2 linked regions of the Danio rerio genome follow. The protein of the gene in region 1 purifies or fractionates together with the protein of each later gene. This does not show direct contact. Links are inferred from orthologs where the notes say so. Each region holds a gene or a part of one and is shown on either strand. Other genes may lie near its edges.

Region 1 (3,829 bases):
CTTCTGCACATGACTTCAGAGAGAGTTTTGATTAGTTGTGAATGTTTATTAAGCTTTATGTATGGAGATTCTTATCTCAGTTTTTAATTACACTTTAATTTGCTTTAATTGTTTTGTGTGTGTTTGTGTGTATATATATATATATATATATATATATATATATATATATATATATATATATATATATATATATATATATATAGTTGAAGTCAAAATTATTAGCCCCCTTTCAAATTTTTTTTCAACCATCGTCTTACATTTCCTTGCATAATTACCCTAACCTGCCTTTAAATGTCACTTTAAGCTGTATAGTAGAGAAAATATCTAGTAAAATATTATTTAATGTCATCGATGCAAAGATAAAATAAATCAGTTATTATAAATTAGTTATTAAAACTATTATAATTAGAAATGTGTTGAAAAAAATCTTCTCTTTGTTAAACAGAAATTGGGAAAAAATAAACAAGTGGTGTAATAATTCAGAGGGGCTAATAATTTTGACTTCAACTGTATATACACATGTACATACATACATACATACATACATACATACATACATACATACATACATACATACATACACACAGCACATTGCAGGTTCATTGGATTTTTGCAATCTTAATGGTTTTTATTCACCACAATCCATTCTAAAAGTAGATATTGATAGTATCATAAACAAAATTTTGATTGTTCATTCAACCAGAGTCAAAGGGGGCAGTCACTAAAGTATAGTTATTTAGTGTGGGAGGTGGGGTAGTTGGCCTGGTGGGGGTCCGGCAGTCAGTCTACTGCTCATTCTTCCTGCAACTTCCCTAAACTCACAGATTCCACTAATGAACAGCCTGCATTTGCATGTAACAGCAAGGGGTAGGGGGTTGTTGACCATTACCTCAGACCCATCTCAACAAACATCCACCCTTCCCCCAGCTTTCTAGAGAGCCCAGCTATCAAACTACTGTGATTTCAGATGGCATCTGCCCCCACCCACCCACAGTTCTACACTTTAACAGCCACAACAGACACGCTATCAAATTCCTTGGCTTGAGTTTCCCCAATCTGAGACAAAGGCAAATGTAGGGCGACTGATGGCTTACTCATGGTCCCTGACCCATTTTGTCTTTCATACTCAAGTAAAATTAAATACACACACACACACACACACACACACACACACACACACACACACACTGCACAGACATGTCTCCAGCTGTGTGAGGCAACAGCATCATGTTATAGTTTAATGTTTCATTTTTCTAATTGTTACCTAACTTTTATTGCCCCTTAAGATACCGCCAAACTTTTCCAAAAGTTTTACAGCTTGTCCAGTAATCAGTCTTCCATATCATCAAGATTTTCTATCTGTCATTCTAAATTGTTTCCCATAATGCCCCTTTCCCATTTTACTGCAAGGATTTCATCATGGTAGTTTAGGTTCCAGGACAGACAATAGTGTGGCCCCCCACCCTTTTTAGCTAAAGCAGGAAAAACCAGGGGCCCGTTTGGAGACAAAGAGCACAACACAATACAGTCTTCCTAAGCTAAAGTTTAGAATTGGGTTTGGTCTGTGGGGGGGATGGCTTGTTGTTTTGTAGGGGGATGGGAATGCCATTGCACCCCAGTATCACATTGAATTGTGGTATTAGATTAGCGCCTCTCTACATTTATAGCATACTTTAAAACCACAGAAGAGCTATCTTAATTTAAACTTACTGAAGGTGGATAAGCTAATGTAAGATTGTAAATGCATTCTCCACTGGGTGACCATGGCACGATTAGGAGCATTGGTAGTTTATTCTATTTTGTTGTTTCATTGTAATTTTTTAAGGGTGGGGTAAGACTTTACCAGTCACATAAAAATATGATTATTTTAATATGATTTATAATTTTTCGTTTTATAAATCATAAGTTGTTTGTTTGGTAAATGTGTTTGCGTTATCTAGGCCTGTGTCATGCAATTGTGTAGGATGTCAAGTAATGTTATATCCATGCATTAAAAATGCTTGGAATTTGTTTTTAAAGTCACTGGGTGGGTTTCAGACCCCAAAGCAAGAGCAAGCAGAGCCAGATGTGAGCAGTCTCTTGCTAGGTTGGATGTCAAAGGGAAACTGGGCCTCTAGGAGGCCCACACTATATGTGAACATGACTCCCTGTTCCTAGACCCACACCCTCAAAACCAACCCACTCCTGTCAAAACACAGATAGACGAGGGAGGAATTTAAGACATTATAAATGTGTGTGTGTGTGTGTTTGTGTTTTTTGTTTATCCACCTGTTGTGCTTTTAGTTACATTTAGTTTCAGATGATACTGTGCTCACATGCTGATTAATATTAGTAAAATACTATCAAAAAAAGCCCCTTCGATATGAGTTTGCTGTGTTTTATTAAATCAGGTCAGTTTCATAGTCCAAAAAGTTTGGCAACATATCCTGCATAGCTGAAGCTTACTACATGGAAATTTCCCCTGTTTGCTTTTAAGTTAACTGTTGTCATCACCCCCGTTTTATAGTTTTGGTTAACATTTACAGGCAGGAGACCAGAATATGTAAACTTAATATCAGATTGCCATCATATGCCTGATTAAATCTGTAAGGGGGGAAATGTTTTTTTTGCAGGTTTTCCAGAAATGTGGCTCTGATTTCCTTCAAATGACACAGTCCTCCATCTTGAGTTAATCATCTCACTAGATCATTTATTTTGCTTTTATTATTATAATTACAAACCTGTTTTTCTAAACTAATTCTTTTTGTGGGTTGACTATCCACAAGAGACCAAACACACAGACGATTTTAAACACTTGGAGTGTTATGTTATTTAATAATCTGTTAACTTGATGATTCGAATGGTGACGACTTGATTCATTTTTTTTTAGATGTCCAATTAAGTATCATAAGTATAAGTGAATAAATTTATGCAAGCAATTTAATAAAATCTTTCATTTTTGTTTTATTTCAGTTGGTCAAACGGACACCATCTCCCCAAAAGAAGACAGCCCTGAAACAATAGAAGTGCACCAGGAAGAGGTTGCCCCTCAAATGAATGGAGAGAAGGGAGACGATTCTGCAAATGCAGATGAGATTACAACTGCTGAAGAGAAGGTGGTAGAGGAAAAACAAGAAGAGGCCAATGAAGTGGGCTTCAAGAAGATTTTCCGTTTCGTTGGATTCAAATTCACACTGAAGAAAGACAAGAATGAGAAGACTGAGCCTGTGCAACTGCTGACAGTGAAGGAAGCAGAGAGTGGTGCTGATGCAGCCACTGAGGAAAAGAAAGAGGAACCTGCAGCAGAGGAGGACAGGTCTGTGGAAGAAAAATCACCAGAAACCACAGAAAATGAGGCCAAAGCTGAAGAAGTAACTGAGAAGGCAGAGGAACCAGCAGAACAAACTGTAGTTGATGCACCATCAGAGACAGAAAAGGTCAGTGATATTGAAACTGAAAAACCTGCTGAAGAAACAGGGACAATATCAGAGAAAGAACCAGAGCCAGAAGTGCCAGCTGAATCGCCCACAAGCCCACCCTCTCAGGAGACACAGAGTCCCTTTAAGAGATTTTTTACTCAGGGAATCTTTTCTAACCTCCGAAAAAAGGCAAGCTTCAAAAAGCCCAAAGATGAGGAACATGTCAAAGAAAAGCCTGTGGAGGAGGACATTAAGGAAACTGAGGAAACAGCAGAGGGTGTTCCCGAGGCTACAGAAGAAGCTAAAGTTGATGCTGAAAATGAACCAGCTGAGGGTGAGCAGATAGAGAAACCATCTGAAACTGTTGAAACTAAAGCTGAAACTACCACTGAAACGACGGCTGAAACAACCAATGAAGTTACTCCCACTGA
Region 2 (3,829 bases), on another chromosome or scaffold:
AAAACTTAACCAAAATAATGAACACTGACTCAAACAACATACAAAAAGCTTTAGAAAAAAATTTATTCTGTGCTCATCTTAAACTGTTACATTTTACTGTGAGATGAGGAGACAAGTTATGTTACATTACATTACATCAAAGAAATCTTAATTTGGCCCAAAAAGATCAAACATTGAAAATATGTAGTCATTGCTTATACATGGTTGACTGTGAAATGTGTCTATACTAGTGCCAACTTCTCCAGTCAGCAAAAGTCTGGGCAAACAGCGATCTGGGCAGAAGTCATGTAGTGTTTTTCAGCCCTTAGTAAGATCTGTAAAGCTGTATAATCTCATGAGCTGCTGGGAGACACAATTAGGATGAATGTTGGCCCAGTCAGAGGAGCCTCAACCATCTGCCCAAAATAATTCAACACACACCAAGAAGTGGGTCAGAACTCAGTCCCTCTGCTCTTGTCTCTGCTGGTCGAGCTCAGCTGCGATCTGCTCAGACTAAAACTATAAGCAGCAACAGCACTGCTTATAAATTGCTTTTAGTCATTTTGCTCTAAGCCATGTAACATTCTTCTCACGTGTTAAAGGTAGTCCATCAGCTCATTTTGAAGGATTGATTGCATTCATGGGGTGCGTTATGGTGTGTTTTTGTTTGAAAAACGTTCACATCTTTTACCCTTCTGTACTACATCACTTTTTGATTTTTTCCTAAAAAACTGACTGATGATTGCTATATTTAATCCGGTGTGCGTGTGTAGTAGCCTCAGTGTACTTGTTGAACTTTAAACTAGCGCACAGTTGGCACCTTGTCATAACTTTTCTGTGCAACAGAAATGCTGCTTAGAGAAGCCTTTACGATTAATTAACTGTGAAGAATTAAAGCGCAGTTAAATCAGCAAATCATTGCATCCCTATTAATAATATCAGTGCGTTTAACAAAAGGCATTTCCTACAAAACATATCCAAATGTTTTCGGCTGTCCCCACCACTCGCTTATGATGACTCACGCTCTGCGCCTCTACAGCTCGCGCTGTATTAAACAGACGCAGGTCACTTCATAACTATAGCGGCCGTTTTTCGACTCTACTAAATTTATTTTCGATGTCTTGGTCACACCATTTGGAAAGCCGGAACAAACAGCCTCGGGGGCCGGGTTCGGCCCGCCAATTGAATAGCCCTGCAGTAGAGCATTAATTAAATCCTTTTTTTCCCATGAAGCGAAACAAACTCTGCACTTGTGTAGCGAATGGGGACGCACATAAATATACAGTTCAAATATTTTTGTCGGTAGAAAAATATTTTTGGAACGAATTCAGTTTTGTACAATTTGTATCTTAATTTTTGTTGGTCAGTGATCTACAAAATAAACAAAAATAACGAATAACCTTTAAGATGAAGCAATGTGCCTTCAGGTCCGCTATATGCCACGGCCAAAACACAAACATTGCCTGCTAAAAAATAAAAGTGAAGTATTCAGTTTCGAATTATGTATATGTAAACTGTATCATCAAAATGAATTGAGCAGCCTATATCATGACTGTTTATGACATTCATTTATCGGTGTTCCGACCTCAAATGTCTAGGGCTGAGGTTGAACATAAATGTTAAAGAAAAAAAAATAAACAGTTGGCAGGTTATGATTTAAATGGCCTTAAAGGTTCTTTTATTGTGAGGAGGAGGAAAATATTGTATTTACAAGAAAAAAAAGAAATGAGCGCAAAAAAATAGCTCCAGGGCTGAGTAAGGCCAAATCAATAAACAAAATATTAGCTAACTTCACCTCGAAGATAACTTACCTAATGAGCCAAAAGAAATGCAGAACATATATTACAAATACTACCCTTAGCCTACTCCTTGACTAAACCAAAAACAGGAGAAAATGTCAGTTCAAAGTAAATGGGACTTAGCCTCTACGGCGCTCAGCTCACAGCTTTTTATACCATAGGTGTGTTAACAGTCACAACAAGGAGGGGAGAAGAAGAATGTGAAGAGCACCTTAAAATTCACAATTTATGATCAACAAGAAAAGCACTACAACAGGTTTTCAACAAGAACGCCACATTCTTTGAAAGCTCTCTGTCTCAGACTCTCCCCGCAATCTGACTCTTTTTCGAAAAATGCTGCGAAAGATGCTGCGTTCTCCGAGCACCAACCACAGTGCGCCCGCAGCACGCCCGATTAGGTTTATTGGGGTTACCTACAATGGATTAATACTTAATGCCCTGCTATGTAGTGCATGCATATATATATATATATATATATATATATATATATATATATATATATATATATATATATATATATATGCACGGTTAACGCTTGATTTCTTGCTTCATCACCGCGGTAACAGAAAATCGGTTACCGTCACAGCCCTACTGAAATCACAGGCAAATCGGTGCTTGACAATCACACAGTATGAACTATCAAAGACGTCATCTGAGAGAATCGCAGATGAGTCGCCGATGCCTGTGAGATATTTGGCATGCTAAATATCTGAACCTGTCGACGATTCAAATCATGTCGTGTGAAATAAGTTTTGGCTAGAATTAACATCGGTGATCGCCCATAGCCAACGCGAAAGCAGCATTCACTAGTGTGTGTTTACCTGCAGGCCAGCGGGAGGTTGAGGGAGAAGTTAAAAGTGCTTATTTTCGTTATATTTTGACCCAAGAAATGGAGGAAAAACTAGTGGAGGTTTGACAGGAGCACTGTGTCTGGCTGACGTTTAGTGCAGAAAGGTAAAAAAGAAAGTTGAGGAGAAATGGCTAATTCCCTACAAACCCAAGTAAGCAAATATGTACATTTTCTACCCCATTAAAGGCTTCTTTCTTGTTATGTAGTTAATAACAAAAGATATTCTATTTGTTTTTGGATGTGAAACGTAGTTTGGACAAAGTTGTCGGCGATTCTTCCTATTGTAAAGTCATGCATTTTGAAAGCCCCTTTCGCCGATCCATCTTCCAGTGTAAACATAGCAGCGACAAAACTCTAGCCCAGTTAGTCATGCAGTGTGAAAACATTTGTGACTGAACTCGGCATAACCAAAGATTAAAAGGTTTTCTGTCTTGAGGAGGGCCAAAATCTAATTTCTTTTTCTGTCTCTGTGTTTATTCTCCAGCTGAGTTATTTGACAGGCCTGAAGTGACAGACATCAAGTTCCTCTTTCTAGTGGGTGGATTCGCAGAGTCTCCACTGCTGCAGCAGGCGGTCCAGAACATGCTTCAGGGCCGCAGCCGAATCATTATTCCGCACGACGTGGGTCTGACCATCCTGAAGGGGGCGGTGTTGTTCGGCCTGGATCCAAGCATTATAAAAGTGCGCCGCTCTCCACTCACCTACGGCGTCGGCGTCCTCAACCGATTTGTGGAAGGCAAACACCCACCTGAAAAGATGCTGGTGAAGGACGGTATGCGCTGGTGCACCGACGTCTTCGACACGTTTATCTCTGCCGATCAGTCGGTGGCACTGGGCGAAACGGTAAAGCGCAGCTATACACCAGCCAAGCCATCGCAGCAGGTGATCGTCATCCATGTGTACTGCTCAGAAAAAGAGTCGGTCACTTTCATCACGGACCCAGGCGTGAGGAAGTGCGGCTCGCTGAAGCTGGATGTGAGCGGTACTGAGAGTCCAGCGGCACGCAGAGAGATCCAGACACTCATGCAGTTCGGAGACACCGAGATCAGAGCCATGGCTGTCGACGTGGCCACATCTCGCACTGTCAAAGCGAGCATCGATTTCCTTGGTCAGTAGATGAGGAAAACACACACTGCAGACAAACTCAGTATTTAGTCATGTTTTCCAGTCAAAAATCTTTAAATCATCCTCAAAACGAATA

Evidence for each region.
Region 2: the proteins of akap12b (region 1) and hspa12a purify together in Homo sapiens (affinity purification with mass spectrometry; 3 studies listed by BioGRID and IntAct, with this or other methods). This does not show direct contact. The link is inferred for Danio rerio from reciprocal best matches to the Homo sapiens genes AKAP12 and HSPA12A.

Annotation. Positions count from the first base shown.
Region 1 is NC_133195.1:29,130,456-29,134,284, reverse strand, and holds part of akap12b (A-kinase anchor protein 12b), read left to right. Parts: intron 1-2,952; coding exon 2,953-3,829. UniProt on the Homo sapiens protein: Anchoring protein that mediates the subcellular compartmentation of protein kinase A (PKA) and protein kinase C (PKC).
Region 2 is NC_133192.1:22,603,375-22,607,203, reverse strand, and holds part of hspa12a (heat shock 70 kDa protein 12A), read left to right. Parts: intron 1-3,112; coding exon 3,113-3,744; 3' UTR 3,745-3,826; exon of another isoform or gene 3,827-3,829. UniProt on the Homo sapiens protein: Adapter protein for SORL1, but not SORT1. Delays SORL1 internalization and affects SORL1 subcellular localization.